3 linked regions of the Drosophila melanogaster genome follow. The protein of the gene in region 2 interacts with the protein of the main gene of each other region in a pairwise test. Each region holds a gene or a part of one and is shown on either strand. Other genes may lie near its edges.

Region 1 (5,451 bases), on a different chromosome or scaffold from region 2:
GGGCAAATCCTCCGTCACAACATGCTCCAACTCTTGGACCAGCGGAGAGATCTGGACGCGATAATTGAGGTTCTTGTTGTTTCGGCCGTAAAGAAGACTTCGCTCCGCCTCCGTGAACTCAAGGTACTCAGGGCGGACGGAAACAAAGTGCTCCGACCGGAAAAGCCGATTCATCTCCATTTCGATGACGAAATACGCTCGGCGATGCATGCATATCCAGACTATTTGGATGGATACTGCCAGAAAATGCTCATGGAAGTACTTATCGTGGATAGTTGCTGAAATGTTGGAAATCGGCTTCATGTGGTAGTACTTGGCCATAGATCCCTCGCCCTTGATAATCTCACAGTAGTTTCGGGCTAATAGCATGCGGAAGTGGCTCAGGTAAACGGAATAGGTTTTCTTCATCTCAGTGGTCTGCTCGCTCTGAATTTGGGCCATCTGGCCAGAGAGTTCATCTCTGCGAATCAGGACGAACTCCACCAGGCGTAGGTAGTACTCAAAGTACAATGTTAAGGCGTGGAGCACGGACTGCACCTGTGGCTCATGCATGAATTCAATGAACTTGTAGGTTAGAAAGTCTTTAGGCATCAAGTAGAGCACCAGATCTCGAATATCTCTTAGCACCACTGTGTCACTGGTGTTGGACTTGGCGCGTACATACTCCTGCCGGAAGATAAGCTCCTCCTCTTGGTCGATGGTACGCAGGAACTTGTACCCATTGGTGATTATATAGCGCTCTCTTGCGTTTTCCAGATCGTTGTGCGCCTGAAAGTTGAGGCAGTCCTTCTCCGAGTCCCATGACCACTTGCCGCTGTAGTACTTTGGAGCGTAGTTATCGACATGGACTCTTTTCATCGTAGTCGCGCAGATAAACCAAGATCGGGTTGTGTTTAGTGTTTTTAAAGTGTATTTAAATTGATGTGTACGTGACGAAGTTTAGTGGAATTATGCTCATGTTTAAAGGCCTAAAGTGAAGTTTTATTCCCAAGCTCCCACCTACGAAACCCATACCCTTGATCGGATGCCAATGTCTTTCGTCTTCGTGCATTTATTATAAAATAGCAATCCATAAGTGTCAGTGCTTTAAAGCTCCGATTTTCTGTATATATAATAATATGCAAAAATTGCAATTAACGTATAAAATTAGGTAGTTTTTTTTACCGCTTTGCCTTGCCTACACTAAATCGCGATGCAATACTACTACGCGTAGATGATGCATGCTCCGGATCTCTATCCTCCTTGCGTATTTTGGACATGATCTTAAAATAGTTGGAGATGATCTGATCGACCCTTTGTCCTGAAGATGTGCTTGCCAACTCCTTTTCACAACGCGAGACTACGTTCGTGAGTAGACCTCCGGACCGAAAGAAGGCTATGTTGATGTCTCGTTTGACCCACTTGCAGATCTGATGGTGTGTGACCCGCTCATGAACCTTACAGAGCTTGTAGAAATGTTCATATTTCTCTTTCATTGTACGCATCTGAAGCTCACCTATCTTGGGTATTTGCAGGTGAGGTCTCCTGATTATATGGTACGGATCGAACTTTTCCGAGAAGTTTGAGAAGCGGACAGCCGGCCAGTCGAGACTAAGAAGCGTGTTGTAGAGGCTCTTGGGATGGCCCATGATGCCGTGCGATACATCTATAAAGCTGAGCTGCGAACCGGGCACAATGTACTCCAGCTCAATCTCGGCAATGCGGATATCGTTTCCTCTGTACTTGCGTTCGCCTATCCACAAAATGGGCAAATCCTCTTCAGGAACCAGCTTTAGCTCCTGGACTAGAGGCGATTCCTGAATTCGATAATTGTAGTTCTTTTTGTTTCTGCCGTAGAGAAGACTGCGCTCCGCCTCCGTGAACTCGAGGTATTCTGGGTGGGCGGAAACAAAGTGCTCGGAGCGGAAAAGGCGATTGATCTCCATTTCGATTACGTAATACGCCCGGCGATGCATACAGATCCAGACTATTTGGATGGCCACTGCCAGAAAATGCTCATGGAAAAACTTATCGTGGATTGTTGCTGAAATGTTGGAAATCGGCTTCATGTGGTAGTACTTGGACATATTATCCTCGCCCCCGATGATGCGGCAGTAGTTTCGTGCAACAAGCATACGATACTGGCTTAAGTATACCGAAAAGGTTCGTTTCATATCGTTGGTCTGCTCGCTCTGCACCTGACCCAGGGGACCGGAAAGCTCATCCCGACGTATAAGTATAAACTCGACCAGTCGCAAATAGTGCTCAAAGTATATAATCAGGGAGTGAAGCAACAAGTGCGTATCCCGCTCGTACATGAACTCAACGAACTTGTAGGTTAGAAATTCTGAAGGCATAAGGTAGAGAACCAAGTTTCTAATATCTCCGACCACCACAACGTCACTATAGTTGCTTTTCGGTAGCACATACTCCTGTCGGAAGATGAGCTCCTCCTCCTGGTCTATTGTGCGCAGGAACCTGTAGCCATTGGTCATAATATAGCGCTCTCTTGCGTTTTCCAGATCGTTGTGCGCCTGAAAGTGGAGGCAGTCTTTCTCCGAGTCCCATGACCACTTGCCGCTATAGTACTTTGGGGCGTAGTTATCCACATGAATGCGCTTCATTGCGTTTGGCAGTAAATAATGGTATAAATTTATAAAATCGTATTTTAGTCAAAAGCAGTGAAAAATCAGTGTCGTTACATTGAGAGTTAAATATTTATGTTCCTCAAAAAGACTGAAATTTAGATGCTGCAGCGACTCCGATTATTTAAAAGACCAAATACAATAATTTCCAAGGGCGTGATTTTTCTGTCAATCTGTATTCTCAGAATTTGTATTTTCCGGTACCACGCTGATTTAGGTGACCGGTGTTTCCCGGACTGTGCTAAGCATGTTCCGCCGCACTAATGCCGATCCGGTCATACGGCAATTTATTCTGCGCACTGCAGTCCTCAATTATCTTGGCAAGAGTCTGCGAGAGCAGTATAATGAATATTGCCTTTTGAGAACCCAGCACGAAAATATTAGGCTGAAGACTGCGAGTGATCAAGAGCTTGAGGACCTGCCGACTCTTTCCGAGCTATTTGAGATGCAACAGTTGAAGACGGCTGCCACCCATCGTCTGCTGATGCGGGAGTACCAAGAATTGCTTGCCTACATGATGGACAAGAGTGATTTGTGGGACAGTCAGGAGTACTTCAAGGCCAAGTCTGCGCTTGGGGCGGCCATCCACAATCTACGGGTTTGTGCACCCACCAAACCAATGGACTAAAACCAGTCGAGAGGAACATTTGCCAGATAGAATTCCATTCAATCAGTATATATACATACATAAATAGTGAAACGATCCACGAGCGACTTAACTACTTGTAGAAGGGTATCTCCACGCGTCCGGATTTCGTGTTAACCGCCTCCCAGCAGGTGCACGCAAAGGTTGAGCGGTCCATGTGATCGGTGTATAGTTTTCCCTCCAGGTGATCCATTTCGTGCTGCGCTATCCGGGCATTCCAACCACTCAGAGCCAGTTCGCTTTGGTTTCCTAGTTGGTCAAGGCCTGTTAGCTTTACACCTTCGAAACGCTCCACTTCGGCAGAGTAACCTCGCACACTCATGCATCCTTCTGGATGCTTCAGCTTCGCGTAGTTGGTCACCGTCAGGACGGGATTGATGAAAATCTGTAAGAAGCAAACCATTGTATTATAGGGTTTGGGCTTCCGAACACAGCTAGTTAGGACCCCAGTCTCACAGTCAGTGGCAACTCGGACATTTGTCGGGCTTGGTAAACGGCCTCGGGCAGCTCCTTTCGGATCCGTCCCTTGAACTCCATTGCTATGATCCTGAGCGATACTCCAATCTGAGGAGCCGCAATGCCGACGCAGTCGAACTTCCTTAGCACCTTGACCATCCGCTCGACGATGGCCTTAATCTCGGGGCTAGCCATGTGCTCCTTGGGCACCAAAGCCGCTTGTTGCCTAAGAACAGGGTCACCAATCTGGGTGAAATGGTTGTATGGCGGCAAGTTTGTGCGCTCCGTGGTCCACAGGTGCTGGTACCACTTCCTGAACGACTGATTAGCGGGAGGACTCGTTCCAAAGGATCGACAATGTCCCAGAATCGCTTGGCATACTTTTATCCGTGGTTTCAGGTGCATTTTGTGAAATGTTTAGCCTCCTTTAATATTCCGATCAAAATCGTAGGGAATATAGTTACACAACACGGTCATACTGGCCAGCTGACCGGCTAGGGATGTGAAAGTATGTACCTATCGATATATCGGTGGAAATAGATTTGATATTTGGCGCGCTTTTAAATATATGCTAGGTGCATAAAATACTTTTTCCCCGCACACAAAGTTTATTTCGTAAACAGCGCATTCATTTCAGAAGTGTATTTTATTTTCAAACAATATACAAATATGTTGTATAAAGCGCCATAAAAAAGTGAAAAGCTCCTTGAATTAAATGCAACCAAGTTATTACTTGTGAAACCAAATGGCGGATCGACCTTCAGCTGCGTTGATTTGCTCCCAGAGGATGCAGTTGAAGGTGGAGAGATCCATCCTATCCATGTAGATAGTTCCATTAAGGTGATCCACCTCGTGCTGGGCGATCCGTGCGTTCCAGCCCTCCAGTTCCATTTCCGACGGAGTGCCCAGCTTGCCGATCCCCCGGATCCGGACCTTATCGTACCGTTCCACCTCAGCGGAATAGCCTCGCACACTCATGCAACCTTCGGGATGCTTGTTTACTTGGCTGCTGATTATCTCCAGCTCCGGATTAATGAAGACCTGCAAGCAAATGATTTATGATGAGAAATCACGGGATTGTTGCTGCACATAAGCAATATTTTTGTATGCAGAAATTTAGTTTCTCAAATTCATACGTTTATAAAACTGCATAGATTTACATATATTTTTCGAACGCGAAAAGAAAAGCTTTACTTACGGCCAAGGGCAGTATGGACATCTTACGCTCCTCGTAGATTTCCGGCTTGAATTGCTCTTGCTTTCCCTCTCGGAATTCCATAACGATAATACGCAGCGGTATTCCAACTTGGGGCGCAGCCACGCCCACGCAATCGTAGTGACGTAACACCTTTACCATGCCGTCAATAATCTGGTTGATCTCCCTACTATCGATGTCCTCGGGCGGCACCTCTTCTGCCCTTTGGCGCAGAACAGGATCCCCAATTTGGGTAAAATGACGATATGGCGGAGCGGACATGATTCTGGTCGGAAGAAGATCTCTACTGAACCGTGTCTATCGAGCAACTACTGCACAGAGCTGTCGAGGTGGACAGATTTTGATACGATAGCCTTATCTGGGGATCAGCTGATCTGCCATTTGAAACACTGGGAACGATAAGTCTACGGTTCGCATTTTAAAGCGGAAATATATACCTTAAAAATCCAATACAATTTTTTAAAAATACTAGTAATATCCTACAATATTAGTAACAACAATATTGCCAA
Region 2 (10,635 bases):
ATCGCCTCATCGGCCCTAACCTGGGCGTCCTTCCATTTTCGAAAGGAGTCGATAATCTGTTCCTGCTGCTGGTTAACTTCGGTCTGTTGACTGGCGGGAAGAGAGAACATGGCAGCTGCTCTTATATGGATGCACTCTATCCTGGAAAATTACCTACTTTAGGCGGATCTGCATTTGCTGGCAATTTTCCGAAATGGTGCGCAACTCCTCCCGCAGAGATTCAGTTGTCTCGTTCATCCGCTGGATACTTTCGCGATGCCGGATGTCATCCAGCTGCAGATGGCTCTGCATTTTCCGAACAAGAGTGCGCATCTTTTCCATCTCCAACTGGGCACTCTTTTGTTGATCTTGAAGTGCCCGCTCTCGGCCCGAGGACACAGCCTCCTTCTCCTTCAAAGCGACCACCTCCTCTCGCAAGATTTTGCGCTGAAATTCATAATACCTCAGTTTTCTTTGTGCCCAAGGACGACAATAGTCGGATACGCCACCTCTGTTCTCAGCTCATCCTGCAGCTGCTCCACCTGATCCAGTCGCGTTTGCAGGCTCTGCGCTTTCCTCTTGGCGTCCTTGAGCTCCTGGCACTGATCCTCGAAGCTGGCCATCAGGCTTTCGTACTTCGTGCAGAGTTCCACGCTTTGATTTTCTTGGTTTTTCAGCAGGGAAGGGAGGTCTCGCAGTTGGCGGGATAGATCACCTGATAGTATACATATATATATATATATATATAGAAAGAGCTTTTAATTGAAAATTATAAGTTTTCTCTCACAATTCTTCTGTTTGAGGACATGCATCTCTTCTTTGAGCCGATTGTTCTCGCTGAAATCGGAGTAGCTATTGATCATGGACTGCAGCTGGCTAATCTGGTTATCTCGATCCTTTAGATTTTCCTGCAGTCCCTTGATTTGGCAGGAAAGTTGTCCGTTCTGGTGGGGAAAAAAGTGGGCGAGAAATCAGAGAAACGATTAGGAGCAATTTGGTAAATGTGTGCTTTAGTGGATCCAACTTGTATCTCCAGTTCACAGTTGATCCGTGACTGATCGACGAAATGGAGCTCGGGCTCTGGGCAGGATTGGCTGGCTAGTGAGCTCTGCTGCAGCTGCTGCTGCTGCTGCTCCACCTGTTCGGTCAGCTCCTCGAGATCCCTTTTGAACTCATCGATGATGCTGAGGTAATTATCCCGGGTGGCCTGCAGTAGATCCGACTCGGTCTGGCAGTGGAGCAGCGTGTGCTCCAACTGCTGGCGGTGGGGGCAATCGGTGGAGCTGTTGCCTGTGTTCTACAAATTCAAATTGAGTTGTGGCTCACTTGGTTGGTACCGCTATTCTCGAGGCTTACCATGGCCACTCGGAAATCGGTAACTAATTGCCTGCAAATCCGCGCACGAAATCACCTGTCAGTTGTCAATTGTCGATTGCAGATACGCGGATGTACATATCTATGTGTTTAAATCGTTTTCGGTGTCGAATGCCTAGAAATGGAGCCTTCGTGCCGCCGAGCTTGCAAATATATCTCGCAAATATGACCCCCAGACGAATTTTGGCTTCATTACCGTTTCATTTCATTTCAATAATATTGCTATTAAAAGTTTGTCACGAAAATAAAACCAATTCGAAACGTAGGAGGTGGCAAGGTTTCGGGTTTCCGGTTTCAAAGTTTCGCTTCTTTGGCACTTTGGCAACACACAAGTTTGTTGGGTGCTTGAAGGGGTGGGGGGTGAAGGATGGTTGAGTGGGGGGGGGGGGGGTGACTTCCCCTAGTTTTATAGATATTATTATTTGCGCGGCCCGACTGTTTGACACGATTTGAAAATAAAGTTAGTTGCAGCGGGTGGCAGCGAATAGTATTATATCGTCTGTCTATTTCTTGGATACGATAGATATATGGATATTTATGAATGATGAGTGGAGGGGAGTTGGGCGAGCGTGGCTCGGCGCACTTAAAACACTTTTAAAGGCATATTATATTGCAGTGGGTGGGGCGGGGGGTTAGTACTACGAAATTGATAGCTCAGGCTCGGGGAAATGTGAAAATCGATTGGGACGGGGGCAATGAATTCTTATGATTCCTTGTCTGTCATTAAACCCATTAGCGGAGCCCAACAATTCGCTTTTCCATCGGCTCCATTTGCACATTTACGGTTCGCAGCACCAACTTTCTTCACTGCACTTCGCGTCCCTCTTTGCGAAAGCACTCGAAAACAATTTGCACTTTTGGCCAACTTTCTCCTTTCTAATTGCCCGATTTTCCTTTCGTTTTTCGCGCCGAAAAGATAATCAAATCGACGGAGCGCGACTTAGGCGACTAATTACGCCTCGTAAATTGGCTGGCGAGGATTTGGCGCGTTATTCCTGGCGCTTCCTTGATTCGCTTCACGCGACTAAACGGCCAAATCCGCCGACGGATGACAGGATTCTGAAGCGAACTGCTCCCCTGCTGGGGCTTCCTGCCGAGTTGTGTTTGATTTTGCGCCCGACAGTTTCGCCAAAGAGATGATGGCGTGAGGGGTGACGACTTTGTTTATTGTTCACACCTCGGGAATTAGTCATATCTAAATAAACATTTATTTAGGTAATTACTAAATATTTGTATTTGCACTGAGCTCAATTTAAGTTGGTTCGGTATTATGAATTACTTAGTGCATACGATCGAGATCGATGTAAATGGTCGTGGTCCTTGCAGTCACGCGGATCACGAGCAGTCCTAGTCAGTGAAGTCCCAATCCCGGCGGCACTCATCAATATGCATATCACTGCTCGCCGGAATCGCGTGTCGATTGTGGGTAAATAAATAACACGAAACCTATTTCCGATTCGCCAGCTCCACTGGCTGGAGGGCAGAAGGTGCTCCCCCCTCAGGGGCAATTGCAGTTGAACATACAGCCGAGTTTCCACAATAAACACATTGGCGAACGATTTGTATTTGTCGTATGTAGACATTTGCCCGGCGGGATGAGTGAAGTGGATCTCTTTCTTTTGTGTCTGGGCCCAATATATATATATTCATATATATATATATATGGGTAAATAAATCGGGGACTCGAATGGCAACAGTAGTTCTTTTGTCAATCCAGCCAGGATTTACCGAGTATATACTGTACCGAGTATATATGTGAAGGCGAATGTCGTTTACCACATAAGAAGAAAGTTCTATGTGCTGAAACGTAAATCGGAAATGTATTTCAAGCTCATAATTTGGTTGGGATATGAAAGAAACTTTATTTAAAACTAGTTCATTTCATTAAAACTATTCATTTCAGCAATCTGTGATTCTAGTTTCTGTTTAACCATATATAGATAGATATAGATTTGAGTGGAGTTGAGTTTTCGTGGCGAACAATCGCGATGATAAATAACTTAAGAACGACAAACTTTAAGCTAAACTATACAAACTTCTTAACGTGGCTTAGATTAGACTAACTGTTTAGGAGGCCCAACAAGTGACATAGTTACTTGGAGGTCCTAAACGTTGTAGTTGTGTTTTTCGTTGGTATAGTTTTAGTTGTCGTTGGCTTGTTTGAAGGTTTAGGTGTTGGTTGTTGTTTGTTTGTTTTTGCCGTGGCTCCCGGGATTTTGGTGGTTTTGGTTGGCTTCCTTGTTTGGGAAGGTGTTTTCGTATCGCATTCCTGCATTTGATATGACAACCGGGGTTATTGGAATCGGCTATTGGTTATTTGCGATGCAATCAAAGCCGTCAGATACTCACAATTTCCACTTGATTTTGCTCCTGCTCGAATTTCCGTGCAAACATATCCGCAATGGTCGTACAAAATGGATTTTCTTTCGAGGATTCGTCGTAGATTTCGTTGTAGGAGAACTCCTTGGAACCCTGAAATGATGCACATATTTTTAATATGCATTTCCTGCAATCCTGCAGAATAGAGAAGAGTCTTAACTCACCAACGAGCAGATGAGTTCGGCGATCTCCCTTAGAACATCGCTATTTCTTTGAAGAACGCTGCTTTCCGATTCAATCCTCGCCTCCAGCTCTGAAATTTTGACTTTTTGCAAATAGGGAAATAGTTATAGCAAAAGTATCGAGAATCGGATATACCCACTTTTCGACTCGGTGTCCAGGCGCTGGTACTTTCCGTGCAGTTCTCGATTAAGTTGGCTAAGGTTGAGCAGGCGTCTACGTAGAGCTTCCAGCATCTGAGCATCCGCGTCCAGATCACAGGGCCCTGATTCGGGATCAACGGAGATTAGGCAGGATTGATCGAGGTCTGACTGAAGGATTGTCAGATGACTACGAATGCTCTCGAGTTTTTTCAGAGTGTCCTCACGCTCGGATACCTTTGATTAAGAAGGGTGTAATTAATGAGGATATGCTAAAGCTCAGAAATATGTAAGTCGAATCCCTCACCAGTTTTTCGATAAAGCAGGACACACGTTTTCGCCGAATCTCAATGGTCTGGAACTCCTGTTTGTTGTGCAGATCGAGAAGATCATTGAGCTCCGCGTTTAGCAGCCGCAGCATTTCGCTCTCCTGGGTGTCGTGGATCGAGAGATTCTCGAGCATATCGCTTGTAATCGCGTCCGCGGTCAGTGTATCGTTGGGCGATTCCTCCATTTTGGCCTGATCTCTGGACTCAATGCACCGGGTGATCTCGTGCAGCTGTTTTCACGGTATTTGGAATGTTAAAAAAAAGCTAGTTAGAAAGTTTCGATGTGCTTTTTGATTGAATACACTGAAAATTTTACCAAGAAATTCGGTATTTCACTAAAAAGATACTCGATTAGGTTTTCGATTGTACGCTTAAGCAGCCGATTAAGCGATAAGAAAAGTATTCCAATGAATCTATAATTAAACTGAGCTCAATAATGAGTAACGTCACCTGACGACGATGATGTTTTTGTTTTTTGTTTTTAAAACAACGAATTGAATAAATTCCTTCCATAAGCACACAATGCACATATGCAGATTTCTGGTTGAGTAATGCCACAATAGGATATCTCACCTGTTGATTGAGCTGTGCTATGCACTGATCCTTCAAAAGTAACTTCTGCCTGGCCGTGTGTACAACCTCGTCCAAGGCATTGATCTGTGACTTCAGTTCGCCGATCTCGTCATGCTTGGCGGCTATCTCGCCGACTAAGGACTTCATGCTCTCGGACATCTGCGAACAAAGTTAAACGCCAATCAAAGCCAAGCATTAAATATCGATGAACAAAATATCAAATTTTATTAAGAGCAGCACAAAATATACGTATTTAGTTAGCGAGACAATCATTTAGAGTTCTCGCGCTTGTGGGACGACTTCGGGTCCCACTTGACATTGGAATCACCGCCGCCTTTTCCCTTCAAGGATCTATGGCCTACCTTCTCGCTCTCGCATTCCGCGTGGGCGGGATCCTTTCCCACGCCCCGCAATTGATTAACGGTCAGTGTCTCTAGGGAAATGCCATTGAAATCAAAGTCGGTGCAGTGAGGAGAATGCTGCACGCGTTCTATGATCGCACAAATGTCCTCACGCAGCCTACGATTCTCCTCGAGGGTATGCTGTTGTCGCACTTGGACAGACTGACAGCAGGCAACGATCTTGCTGTACGCCTCCTTCTCCAAGTCCGACACGTTGCCCAGGATCACGCTGTTCACGTGGAGCAGGAAATCCACCCACTCCTGAAAAGTGACCAGACGCAACTGGCAAGTGTGCTAAAAGGGTATGAAAATGGGTCATATAAAATAATTTATCTCAAGGGGGATTTTGCTAGGAATTAGTTTCAATGGATACCATCCTTGATTTACAACGAATCTCACCATGTCATCACCCTCGTGCTCATCTAGGCAGTCAATCTCGTCCAGCCGCTTCAGAAATATGCTGTTCAGCTCAAAGCTCATATCGCCAGCATCGCCGTTGGTATCCCGCAGCTTCTGGATCAGACAGCGGTAATGTTCGGTGGACATCGCCTCGGTGCTGGCAGTGCACCGATCAGGAGATGAGGCTTTTAGCGTCGATTCTTGATGTGGATGCGAGGCACTCGTTCCGGTTGGCTGCACTTGCCGACACATTTGACTGGCAGATGATGGTGGTGGCGGTGGCGATGATGCAGGTCTCGACGGATTCAGACCCATGGACTTGGCGTCTAGGACGAAACCGGCTTGGCGACTGGCCATGATATCAATTCAAAATGTAATTACCACGTTCTTCTTACTAAGAGCTGATTTAGTCGGCCAGGGAATAGCTTGTGTAATTAGACATGAGTATGACTTTAAGGTTTCTACATCGAAACGTTCACTTCGAAAGCGGCAATCTCAAGGCACTGCTGATCGGAAAGATCGAATGCAGTTCTCCTCGCCTTCAACTGCACGCAAATCGCAAATCACAAATCACTCACGAAAGTACAAAAATCACAACAAAAAACACTTGTAAAGTTGTAAGCTTATTAAAAACAACACAAAAATGGGCGGAAAAAAAAATAAAAAATAGAGAAAATATATCTGATTCGAACCTTGGCGGCGACGTCAAGAGCAGCTCAGCGCGCTGCGTTCATATCTTTTGTTTGCAGTCTTCTGACGTAGCAATGTAGTTTTGTTTATTTATATTTTTCTTGTTTTTGAGCTACACACACGCGTATTAAGTATACGGTTTCAGCATGTTGTTGTTTTTATTTCTTGCCACGATCCAAATACCGCGCGTTTCGTCTGCGCTCCGTTCGCGATCGCCAACGAAACCGAACTGAGCGCTCCGCTCCACACACTCGCTCCCCACCACCACCGGCCAAGAGCGGCTCTCTAGAGAGTTGAAAAACTCGACGGACTCTCAGCGCTTATCAGTGCGTCGGGGAATCGAATTGGATCGCTGCGTGTGTTTACCCAAGAACTTAGCATTCTGAATTTCTGGCCGGGCTCACGATATACATATGTATGTATGTATCTTACACAATATGCGAAAGTCATCGCTGTTTGCCCAAGTTGCGGTTTCGGGGTTCTGCCAATTTCGTATAATTGTTAACTCATCCGGTGTATATTTGCCCATGGATAAGTTTGTTTGGTCGCATTGATAACTCCGATATGGTCGTTCAACGCGGTTACACAATAGCTGGAAAAAAGCTGCAAAAACCATGAATTTTAAAGATTAAGAACTAAAAAATTTCGAATGATTCAGAGAATGATTATGCCAATCCTTAAGTCTTATTGCCCATCCCAAATTTTACACGATTAGCACAATATGTTGGGCACCAATTGAAAACAGTAGATTTTTTGCAGATTTAAATTGTTACCAAGTTCGTTTTATTGTACAGGCGAATAAAAGCATTTCATTGAAAATATTTTAAAATCCTTTTAAAAGATAGACAACAACTGTGTTAACGCTCATTATACGTTTTATTTATATCGATTTCTCTTTTATGTAAGAACAAAATTTATTTACAGTGTTTAGATCGCGTTTGCTTGCTTCCGTTTTCGTGCTTTCGGTTCGGCGTTAAATTGTTTTTCAAAATCAATTCTATGTGTGTCCTACTTAACTCAAATCCATTACAGAAGTGTTGCCTACATATGCCTGGAATCGATTCCCACATATCAACTAATAGATAAAACAACTTTTTCGTACAGATTATCATAATCACTTCACGTTGCTTTGGGCGTACACAAAAAATGAAGATAGAGGAATATGAATAGTCATTGCAATCCTTACGTTCTGTTCACACGCATCTCAAAACGTGGGATGAATGTTTTTATTTGGATTGAAACAGACGACGTATAAATGTACATCAAACGCTCTCTAAAATTCATAATTCATTTATAAATTTATTACTTTAGCTATATTTATAGTTATTAATATTTTCTTGCTTATATTTCTGTTGTTGCTTCTTTACCTTTTTACTCAGCTGCTTACAATTAGGGGCTGCATTATGCATTATTTCTCTTATCTTGCTTTGCGTACGATTCTTGTGGGTGGATGTGGTGTGTGTGGTTGTGGCTCTGAATGGGGTGGTGGTGGAGCAGGTGTGTATGTGGTTGTTTGGGCTTACTGCTATACACTTGTTATGCGCAAAGAAATGACCATAAACAGTAATTAGAGAATATCAAGAAATATATTAGAGGGATAATAATTATGGTGGTGCCTTATCCAATAGCATTTTTAACTGTTGAATTTTGAATGTCAGGCTTACAAAATGGGTTGCGAAACGAAATTTTACGATTCGGGGCGCACTAATTGATATATTTATGTATTCGGGTTATTGGCTGGCGGTCATCTATAATCGTGGTCAGTATCCGCCATATCAATGCCGCTCGTATGCTCAGGCCATTCCGTCCGAGCTGCAGATTGTGTTTTTCAGTTAGTGTGCAAGCCCTGGCGATTTGAAGATGAGTGTGTTCCGGATCCTGCTTAAGACGCTCCTGCTACTTTTTGTGGGCCGCTTAGGCCAAGTAGTTGTACACTTTGCGATCTTCCGGCGATCGTTGCAGATACTCGCGCTCGATTAGGCCCTCAATGCGCTTTTTGATAAACACGGGCGAGGGCAAGAAACGCGACTTTAGCTGCGACGTCACATCTGATACTAGCAAGTTGTGCTAAGAAAATAAAAACAGGAATCATGGTTAAATCACAATCCAACCAGATAGCAAACGTATAATACTTACAGCCAGACGCTTGCGGGCCTTCATTATGCGCACAATAGCCGCTTCGATCTCGTGCTTACGATCCTCGTCGACCTTTCCGCGCGTTTCCTTACGCTCTGGCTCTGATTCTCCCTTGGCGGCTACCGTTTGTATCTTCACCCTAAAATAGTTTCGATATTATTACCAGGCGCCGTTCTTTCGCACTGAAAGTAATATCTAACCTGTGGAACTTGGAGTTGAAGGCGTCGTTTACGTAAAACTCATCCGTGGGCTCAATGTCCTTAGTTTTCGTTTTAGAATTGCGTACTAACAAACGCTGAGCGGGTTTGCCCATGGACAACGATTGTAGTGCTCGGACGAGCTCCCGTTCCGGTATATCGGTCTCCTGGTGTATGTCATCGTAGGTGAGCACGTCGCGGTTATTAAACAGCAGTAGCACACACATCTAATTTTGGATTATGAAATACATGTTAAATGTTTAGTTAAATATTTTTTTCAGATCAATGAAATAAAGCTGCTTCTGCTAAATAAAATTCGGAGGTGTACGAACTAAAAGATATTTTAGCTTACCTGGTACGTGGACACTTGCAATATGTGCTTGCGTGTGGTGGTGGGCACCCCACAGCCGCTTGAACTGGAGCTGGGTGCATCTTTATCCTTTTCACTTTCAACTGCCTTGCGGCCATAAAACACAGCGTTGATATAGGCGGTTCCTATTCGAAGGGGAAGGCATAAATACAGTAGTTGCTTAAAAAAGAAGATCATTTAAGTAGCTAACCCATTTGTGGCTGTAACGTCAATTGACGTCCTGAGTGCTTATTTAGATAGAAGTTCTTGAAAATGTCAAAGGCTTCACGCGGAGCGGCGGGTATATTGCAGTTCGGAGTTGCTGTCTGTTACGGAAATTGAAGATAAGTTAACCTATTCACATAATTATGGAACAATTTAAGCTTACCTGTGTGGGCCAAAAACCAGTGGTTAGTATGCGTACCGTTAGCTCCACACCGCCAAGGGATAAATTGTTATTATTTACAAAGTTCTTAAACTCATCCATGATCGTATTGGAGACTGACATATCTTTAAACATGCCCTCTAGCTTCGAGGTGAATTGACAGCCGCATTCAGTCTGCAATAATAGAGATTAAAGCGATAAATAATTATGCTAAGATACCAAGTAACTTGACCTACCTTTAGTTTTGATATCATATTCTTCTCGAAATCATCAGAGACTGATTTGTTCAGCAGCAATCTCTTGGCTAAATGCGTCTTGTAATAGCGCTCAAAGACATCTTTCTCCAATAGGAAACGGAAGAGAACCATTGTCTTATCCAAGATGGACTCAATTTCCTGTTCGCTCATCTGTGGAAAAGTAATACACATTATTAATACATTTCAGAAAGCATATTGTAAATTCAACTCACTCCCTTGCCACCCTTTTTCAGTTTGTCATCGATGAATAGCGATAGATACTCCGGGGATTTGTTATTTAGGTTCAAGAAATGTTCAAAATCGGATGAGATGACGTTTTTGAATATGCGATCGTTGGCGAACGAGTGCACCAGAAACTGGTCGAAGCGGTCCTTGAGATCCAGCAAGTTCTGCACGAATGTTATGGGATTCGTGTTGCCGTTTTCTTCTTCCTTAACCAGCATGCGTCCTTGCTCTCGCAGATATGCCGACATTGTGTCCGCTATCACCTTGAGACCCTCCTCCTTCAGGCGCGAGAAAAGCTTATATGTGCAGGCCAGATCCTCGGTCTTTGAGTTCTTGATCATGTACACCACGCCCGAGTTCTCCATTTCAACAATGGGTCGCATGTGCTTTTTGATCAGCTCTTCTTCGACCACGCGCACAATGCGGGGCTCCGTATCCTTATCGAGATACAGCGCTGCCCGGGAAGATTCCTCCGTGATGCGCGCTTCCACTTTCTTGATGTAAACGCCAGCGTTGTTCTCGGCAAGAAAGTTCTGCGACTCGAATTTGTAAAACGCCGCCGATTGCGCAAGGAAGGGCTTTTCAAAGTCCTCTTCGTAGACAGTGCGCGAGTTAATCCCCAGGGTGATCAGCATACTGCAA
Region 3 (7,648 bases), on a different chromosome or scaffold from region 2:
ATAAATATATTATATCATGTAGAATTTACAGAAAATGTATATACTCTATAGGAATTTTCTTGCACATCCTATATGCAGTCTGTATCTGCGTCACATTTCCTGTTTATTATGATATAATTTGTATCAATATTTTGCGGTTCATAAAGAAGATACTCCTCCATCCATTAAAAGATTCGCTCGCTGACTTTGCACTTTAGAGCTGCGATATTATTAATGATCATGTCTCGGAATGGCGGAGAAAGAAGAAGGGCATCGGATTTGGAGTGGGTATGGTGTTGGGGTTTTAAAAACAAAGGCGGCCCAGTGACGTCACAGCGACGTCAGCGGACCAAATGGCGATATTGTCGCTGACTTTGGCACCCACACAGATGCTTTATCTTTAAGTAAGCAAATAGCATTTCTATGAAGCCCACGCCATCAGTCTTCACAATAGCAAAACAATACGAAAAAAAAACGAAGCCTCGGACATTCAGTTCAGTCCTCAAAGCTCCTAAGTTTCCAACTCGATGAAATGAGCCAGAGAAAACCCATCCCGAACCGTAAATGGAATGCGATGAATAACCAAACAAGCCACATCCAAACTATAATGACAACTGTGATAAGGCACGGTGACAGGCTTGGGTTGGTCTCTTCTGGGTGGGATGAGTAGGATACCAGGAAATGTGGCTCCCAGGAATGCCAATCCAAACAGTGAAGATATCGGGCGTAGCTAACAAACGCCCAGCATCATGTGTGTCTGATGATACATATATGTGTGTATGTACATTATAGTATATATCCATTTCTGATAATGCGCCGACTTCTACGACTCGAAATATGAATGAAACTTTTGAGGTCGTTTCGTGGAATTAGATAGGAATACCTGATATATGACCTGTTCATTGGAATTTCATAGGCATCAAGTAGTTGGACTGGGCAAAATAACTGGAAAATAATAACAATTTCATAAACTAAATGCTAGAACTAGATGGTTTTTCCACTTAAAATTAAGTTGGTCCGCCGTTTAGCAAGGTCACATCACTGCGTATGTGCTTTATTAAGCATATTCACGAGGGAATCTAAGGCAAATCAAAGGCAATTCCCATAAAAAAAAAAAAAAACAAAAAAAAAAAACAGGCAAAGACGGAAGTTGAATAAGAATCGTATTCAAATGGGGAAGGAACTTGTAATGACATGCTAATCAAATTGAAGTGTATCTTTACAGAGCACTGGAGGCTGAATAAAAAGTGTATGCAAATGTGGCGATAAAACTGAAATTACAATGTACCATTAACTGGGTCAAAAATTCCAGACATTTTTTTTTATAGACTAAAAACTTGACTTAATATTGAGATAGTTTGAAAAGTATTTCAAGAAAAATACAAGCAAGTCGTCATTTAGTGTGCAATATTATCATTATGCTTGCAGAAATGTCTCCATCTCTGTGAGATACTTTCTTATCAACAGTGTTTTTTGTGCTTATAAACACAATCCCCGGGACTTATAGAGTAATCCCCCAACGACACGAGGGCTCGTGTGTCATATAGACATATATGCGAATCCTAATGGGAACGATGACGTATGCGTGATATCACCCAAAATCGCTTATCACTCATCCCACCGCAAAGAAAAAAAAATAATAATAAAAAAAAAAATAAAAGAAAAAAACAACAACCCGTAAGACAGAGCTTTATACAATTGTGTTAGACTGGCGGATGGGATCATCATAGATATAACCACACTATACAGTAGATAGTATATCGTATTAAGCATATATAAGCCGCATGCCCGTGGCTTAAAAAAAAGTAGAAGAACAACAGGCCATTTCTGGGATGCCTCCAATTATTGCTTTTGTCGGCGGTGAGGGTATATATATACATATATACCATATATTGCTATATGAATGCCAGGCAGATAAACCCGCTTGATAAGCGCGTAACATTATTAACCAAACACACATTGGCACACATACATATACGATCAGACAACATACATATCCATATCTCTTGCATATACACATATGTACATGTATGTATGTATGAGATATCCAGGTGAATTGCTTTATTATCGTTATCATGACTCCGAAAATTCGGTTTCTAATACTTTTATTTGCTTTACAAACTTTTCGCCGTCTGCTGACAACAGCAACAGCAACAAAAGGAATAATAAACCACAAAAAAAAAAAGATGCCATTATATAAACGTAAATATGTGCTGGCTTATATATGTACATAATATTTATCTATAATACAGTATACAGTTAACTAAGATAAGCTCTTTTCCTCGCTATCGCTGCCGTTGTTTTGTTTTGCAGTTCTAGATACGAAAAAAAAAACGAATTAAACCAACGGATCCGAGGTTTTCGTATTTTCGTAGATATATACTTGTTTTTTTTTTTTATCAAGGAACCCCCTATTTTTCAACATCACCACCATCATATCGTTCTCATTCACTCAAAAAAAAAAAAAAAAAAAAAAAAAAAACGATAATTATTATAGCGAACGAAAAGCGAAGAATACAAAAAGACTTCTCCGAGTAACAGAACCTCATTTTAGTGATAAGATAAAATTCTAATTAATTAATAGCCTTTTAAGCAAACGCATACACTGAAAGAAAAGACCTGCATATGCAAGGTGGAAAAACCATTAGCTGATAAGGCGCGGGATTACCGTTCTTGAGCCTATATATCATCTCATCATCTTTAAAACAAGATGAAACTTAGTGGTAATTCGCATTATCAAGTCAGTAGTTCAAGGGATTTTCTTTGTTTTTTTTTTTCTTTTTATATTTAATAGATATGCGTATTGTAAAAGTCTTATTATTATAGTCTTTTTCTATAGTTATAATGGTCTTGCAGTTGATAAACTAAACGGTATAATACTGCTCTAGAGCAAAATAGATTGTTTTTTTTTTTTTTTAATTATGCCACATTTCATCTACGCGTAGCACCCGTTTCTCCCTGTGTATATGCACCAACTTGCTTATCTCTTTCGCTGCCATTCAGACCTGCCCTCATTCACTGCTCTTTTATGCTTTCGATAACAACAACACAAACAATCATTAATGATATTTAAAAACGAAAAAAAAAAAATAGTGTTTAATATTAAATTTACTAGGCTGCTCCACTTTGTTACTTGTCCGTTTTGCCAACCCGAATTCTTTAGTCTAGTTTGAGATTTCCCTGGTTTGTGACGTCATCGCGGGCGCCTACCTTCTTGGATCGATCCCGCTGACGATCACCAAGCTGCGTGGCGGCCATTAGTTCGCTGATCTGCCGCTCCCTCTCACGTTCGCGATCCCCCCGCTCGTAATCCTCCTGAAGCATCTCCTCCGCATCGCGATCATCCTCATCGCGATCCTGCTCATCGCGATCCTCGTCGTCATCCTCCTCCTCCTCCTCCTCGTCGCTGAGACTGCTGCTCTGGGTGCTGCTCTTCCTGGCGAGCGCAACTCGAACTCCATTCACGATGCACTCGCCACCATCGAGGGCAGAAATGGTGGATCCACAATAGTAGAGATTGCTGCAACTGCTTGCTGCACTGACATCCGATTGGCCATCGTCCTTGCCACATCCCGGCGACATTCCCGCCGCTCCCGATCCACCGTGTCCATGTGCGCCATGTCCACCGCTATGACTGTGATGTCCCGCCTCCAGGGAACAACGCCGCTGACCACGCGCCCGCTGCAGACGAAAGTATTCCATTTCCTCCATGCTAATGCCGCAGGCGGTTATGTCATCCGAATAGTCGCTAACCACGACGGATGGTGTGCGCACATAGCGCACGCCCAGCGGCAGTCCACTGACGCCCAGTTCGCTGTACGAGCTCTGGGTGGATTCACGTCGCGATCCCGGTGCGGCTACCACTCGCTCCTCGAGCAGCACCTTGGTGGGCACACCCACGCTCGGATTGCCACCGCCGGTGGGCGATGTCAGTGGCGAATCTGGCAGGGCTGTGGGTTCGGCCAGTGGCAGTAGGGCCGGTCGCAGGGGTAAATCCGTTACGGTCAGTGTCATCCGACGTTGTGGCGGCAACGGCACATCCATGCCGCCATCGTCCACGTCCAGACCCAGGGCGGAATCACTACTGGCACAGCGTGTGACCTTCATTTTGCGCTGCCTCGGCGATAGGCTGTTATCCTCGTTGTCGCTGCTATAGGGACTCAGTCCGCCGCCGGTGACATTACAGCCCTCATCCGAATTGGATGCAGTGGCTCCGGGCAGTGTCTTGGGCTCGCCCTCGTTGCTCAGCTGCTGCTGCTGCTGCTGCTGGACAATCATGGCCTGGAACTGATCGATTAGCTGTTGCACCGGCTTGCCTCGTTCCGTCTTGCAGCTGGGATAAGCACTGCGGTAGTTGGTGGTGCGAGTGATTCTAGTGGTGCTGCTTGTCTCGCTATCGCGGGCTAATCCACCCACTTGATTGCCGAAAAATTGCGCTTTCAACTGCGCCTTGCGTAGGGCCAACTCGGAGATGGATGCCACCTCACATGGATAACCAATGTCACTTCGCTGATTGGATGTGGCCGCAATTGGGTTTGCTCTAGCTCTGACTGTAGCTGCTACTTTGGTTCTGGCTCTGGCTCGGGCACTAGCTCCAATCTGCTCCGCTGTCCGCTGATAACTGAACGCCGTTGCCTCTGCCGTCGTCCATTTATTTTCAATTTTAACCGTTCTCCGCGTTGTCGTCGTTGTTGTTTTTCCAATTGTTGTTGCTTTTGCTGTCGTTTTCGTTTTCGCCCTCGCTGCCGACGCTTTCGACGTCGACGTCGACGTCGTTATCTTTGGCATGACATCGAATTGGAAAGCGGGGGCGTCAGACGTTCGCGAAACCGTTCCCGTACCGCCGTCGCACGCACTCATCTCACATGGATGGATTGGCTGGATCGCGGGTAGAGGTGGGGTGGGTAAAGGTATGTATACACCAGGTTAGCAAAGAGTTGGGACTAATGAAGTAAGTGTGAGATTCGTTAGAACAGCAAAAATGAAATAGGAATATGCAAGAAAGTGTAATGGGATTGGTGATAAGAAAGATGTTGTAAGCAGAAGAAGTTGAAAAAAGTGCAGAAAATGGAAAATGGAAATTCGTACTATTTTCTGTATACTAATTTACTAAGGCTTATATAAAGAATTCAATGGTAAGAGATGGTAAAAAAATAGCTAGAATGGTAAATGTTAGAAGCGAGTGAAAAGTGAAAGGCTGGCGGATAGAACGATAGTAGAAAGCATAAAAACAGTGAAGATTTCCGTTAAGAATGAGTGTGTGAAGATAGTTAAAAGGGAGGATGGGAATAATAAGAAAAAGGATAGTAGAAAGAGAAACTAGTGAAGAGTAGTGGATGATGGTTGGGTAGTGATTGGGAGTGACTGATAAGGAAAGACTCAAAAGTGAAATGGTGCTTATGGTGTTGGAAAACGATCTGTGTGTTCCGTCGAAACGCGCTACTAACGCTGGCGTCGAGGCAAAATCGAGTGGAACTATAGGTGAAAATGCCACTGGAATTCCCGGCAAACATTCTACGTCCGCACTTTCCGAATGGCACCTGTGCGCTGCCGTCGCCGAACTGAAATCGCTTTCTGCGGCTCTGCAGCTCTGCCCGTTTTTTCCAGCGGGCCGGCGGGAGGGGCGAAAAGAATCGAGAAGAGCAGCGTGGGGGGCGGGGGGAGGGGAGTCTCGTGGGGCGAGAATGGGCGAGGGGAGGAGGCTCGAAGAATTGTATAGAAGAATCGTTGAGCCGCGGAGTGGAGTGGCGCATCAACGGAGAGCAGCTGTTGTGGGGGCGGGCGGCCGTTCTGCCGTTCTTATTTACTTGTATTGTTGATAGTTTTCTTCGACAAATTTGCTGTGCCTTACTTAATTTTCGGTTGCTTTTGCCACTGTTCGGTTCTCTCGCAATTGAGATGGATTTTTTGGTGCTACTGCAACTGCCACTGCGTCGGGGTAATTGTAATTGTGATCTTGAAACGTTGACGCAATGTGCAATGATCCCGCACGTACGCACGCACACAACGGTAGCTGCTCCAATTGCCGCGCGTAATTGTAAATTGCATTTGAGCACAGAGCACTGAGCGGGCACAGATACGTCGCACACACACACACACGCGCGAACACACAGAGAGGCGCACGCACACCAGCACACACAGTGACAGACTGACAGGCGATGCGAGCCCAATGCAATAAAGCACTCTGCGAGCACCACTACAAGCGCACAGTCACGCACAATGGGACGAATCGGTGATTTATCGCCAAAAAAAAAAAATGAATTAAAAAAAACCCAGCTGACTAAGAACTTTTCCCGGAAAGCAACTAAAGCACTAACTAGTTTTTCAAGATCAGATTTATGAAGCTTACCGAAACAAAAGGTATAATTAAATTTTGCAGTACAAGCACTTATTAAAAACTAAATTGTATGGTTTAAAACTGGCAGCAGTCTTTAGTAAACAATTACAAGCTGTAAAATTCCCGTTGAAATATGAACAAAATTAAATAGCTCTGCCCATGTTCGTATCGTGTTCATGTTTCTGCTTATAAATAAGTTCCCATCTTGCTTTTTATAGTTAACTATCAGACCAAATGACGCAAATAACATTTTATCGCTTTACACCAACTTTTTGCAAAACACAAAACCAAACGAAATCGACCCCAGATTAAATTCTTCGAAATTAAAACCGAGAACAGTCCGCTATACACAAAAAAAAAATATAAAAAACCAAAAACCATTTACGTACATGACTTACGAAAGACGAAATATGTCAGTACATTTGTATAGCTCAACCGCAAACCAACGACCTACGTCAAAACTGATTGTAGTTGCAGAAATTCCGTAGCAAATTGCAAAATTTTTTTTATGAGTTGCAATAATTACTATACCTATATATACATACGTACGTTATACAAGTAGGTGACAAAACCGTAAGTCGCATCCGCATTCAAATTGTTCTTCGTAATTCTCCACAAGTTAAAAAAAAAAAAAAAACGAAAAAAAAGGATAGCCCAATTTCCCATCAACAGGTTCATTGACTATATACATATATACGTCGCTCATTATCTGGACGAATTTTTTTGGTATGCTCGGAATCTTTATGATAAGCACGTGATTCACTCGAAATGCCCACCCACTCCACGGTGCCATGACGATGATAATGGTGATGATGATGATGATGATGATACGATGGCCGTATAATGCTTATAACGATGATGATGGGTGATGGGTGACCCACGGAGCGGCATCGCACTTTGTCCAAAACGCCAGCGGCTATATGACGTCAGTAGTCGACGAACAACGCAGACGCAACAGCCCAGACAGAGACGGCGAGATGGCAGAGAGGGTGGGAGAGAGGGGGCCAGATTACCGCGTAGACAAGGGCGCGGTGATTACTCAACGCCCCGCCGCACCCCCAACGATTCCCGCCGCCCTCCGCCCACCATTTGCGGTATAAATAACAAGGGGGCAATTAAAAATGCATTTTTTTTATTGTTTTATGTGATTTTTTGTCGTTGGTTTGTTTTTTTGTTTTTTTTTTGTTCTGGCTCTGTGCGCGTTGTTGTGGCTTGGCCTTTTTCATGGGTTTAATTTTTTTTATATATTTTATATATATTATTTTTTGTTGACTGACAAGACGCACGGACGCTAGTTTGCTGACGCTGATAGGCACTGGCGGAATGACGTGG

What was found.
Region 1: the proteins of yuri (region 2) and CG14684 interact in a two-hybrid assay, tested with the Drosophila melanogaster proteins (one large-scale study listed by BioGRID).
Region 3: the proteins of yuri (region 2) and IP3K2 interact in a two-hybrid assay, tested with the Drosophila melanogaster proteins (one large-scale study listed by BioGRID).

The regions. Positions count from the first base shown.
Region 1 is NT_033777.3:10,704,132-10,709,582, forward strand, and holds CG14684 (uncharacterized protein), read left to right. Parts: upstream 1-2,842; 5' UTR 2,843-2,871; coding exon 2,872-3,252; 3' UTR 3,253-3,329; downstream 3,330-5,451. Other genes in the region: CG31391 (uncharacterized protein), read right to left, coding at 1-858; CG31467 (uncharacterized protein), read right to left, coding at 1,161-2,603; CG31278 (uncharacterized protein), read right to left, coding at 3,344-3,655, 3,727-4,131; CG31373 (uncharacterized protein), read right to left, coding at 4,456-4,767, 4,925-5,203.
Region 2 is NT_033779.5:15,258,016-15,268,650, forward strand, and holds the start of yuri (yuri gagarin), read right to left. Parts: upstream 6,213-10,635; 5' UTR 6,112-6,212; coding exon 5,755-6,111; intron 5,650-5,754; coding exon 5,317-5,649; coding exon of another isoform or gene 5,224-5,316; exon of another isoform or gene 5,152-5,223; intron 5,114-5,151; coding exon 4,955-5,113; intron 4,788-4,954; exon of another isoform or gene 4,612-4,787; coding exon 4,360-4,611; intron 4,290-4,359; coding exon 4,055-4,289; intron 3,998-4,054; coding exon 3,897-3,997; intron 3,826-3,896; coding exon 3,703-3,825; intron 3,623-3,702; coding exon of another isoform or gene 3,446-3,622; exon of another isoform or gene 3,194-3,445; intron 1,729-3,193; exon of another isoform or gene 1,339-1,728; coding exon of another isoform or gene 1,336-1,338; intron 1,277-1,335; coding exon of another isoform or gene 1,004-1,276; intron 924-1,003; coding exon 767-923; intron 695-766; coding exon 489-694; intron 427-488; coding exon 158-426; intron 91-157; coding exon 1-90. Other genes in the region: Cul3 (cullin 3), read right to left, coding at 8,359-8,511, 8,581-8,719, 8,781-9,004, 9,130-9,272, 9,338-9,452, 9,515-9,685, 9,748-9,918, 9,981-10,635.
Region 3 is NC_004354.4:13,302,489-13,310,136, reverse strand, and holds the start of IP3K2 (inositol 1,4,5-triphosphate kinase 2), read right to left. Parts: upstream 4,623-7,648; 5' UTR 4,258-4,622; coding exon 3,190-4,257; exon of another isoform or gene 2,133-3,189; intron 1-2,132.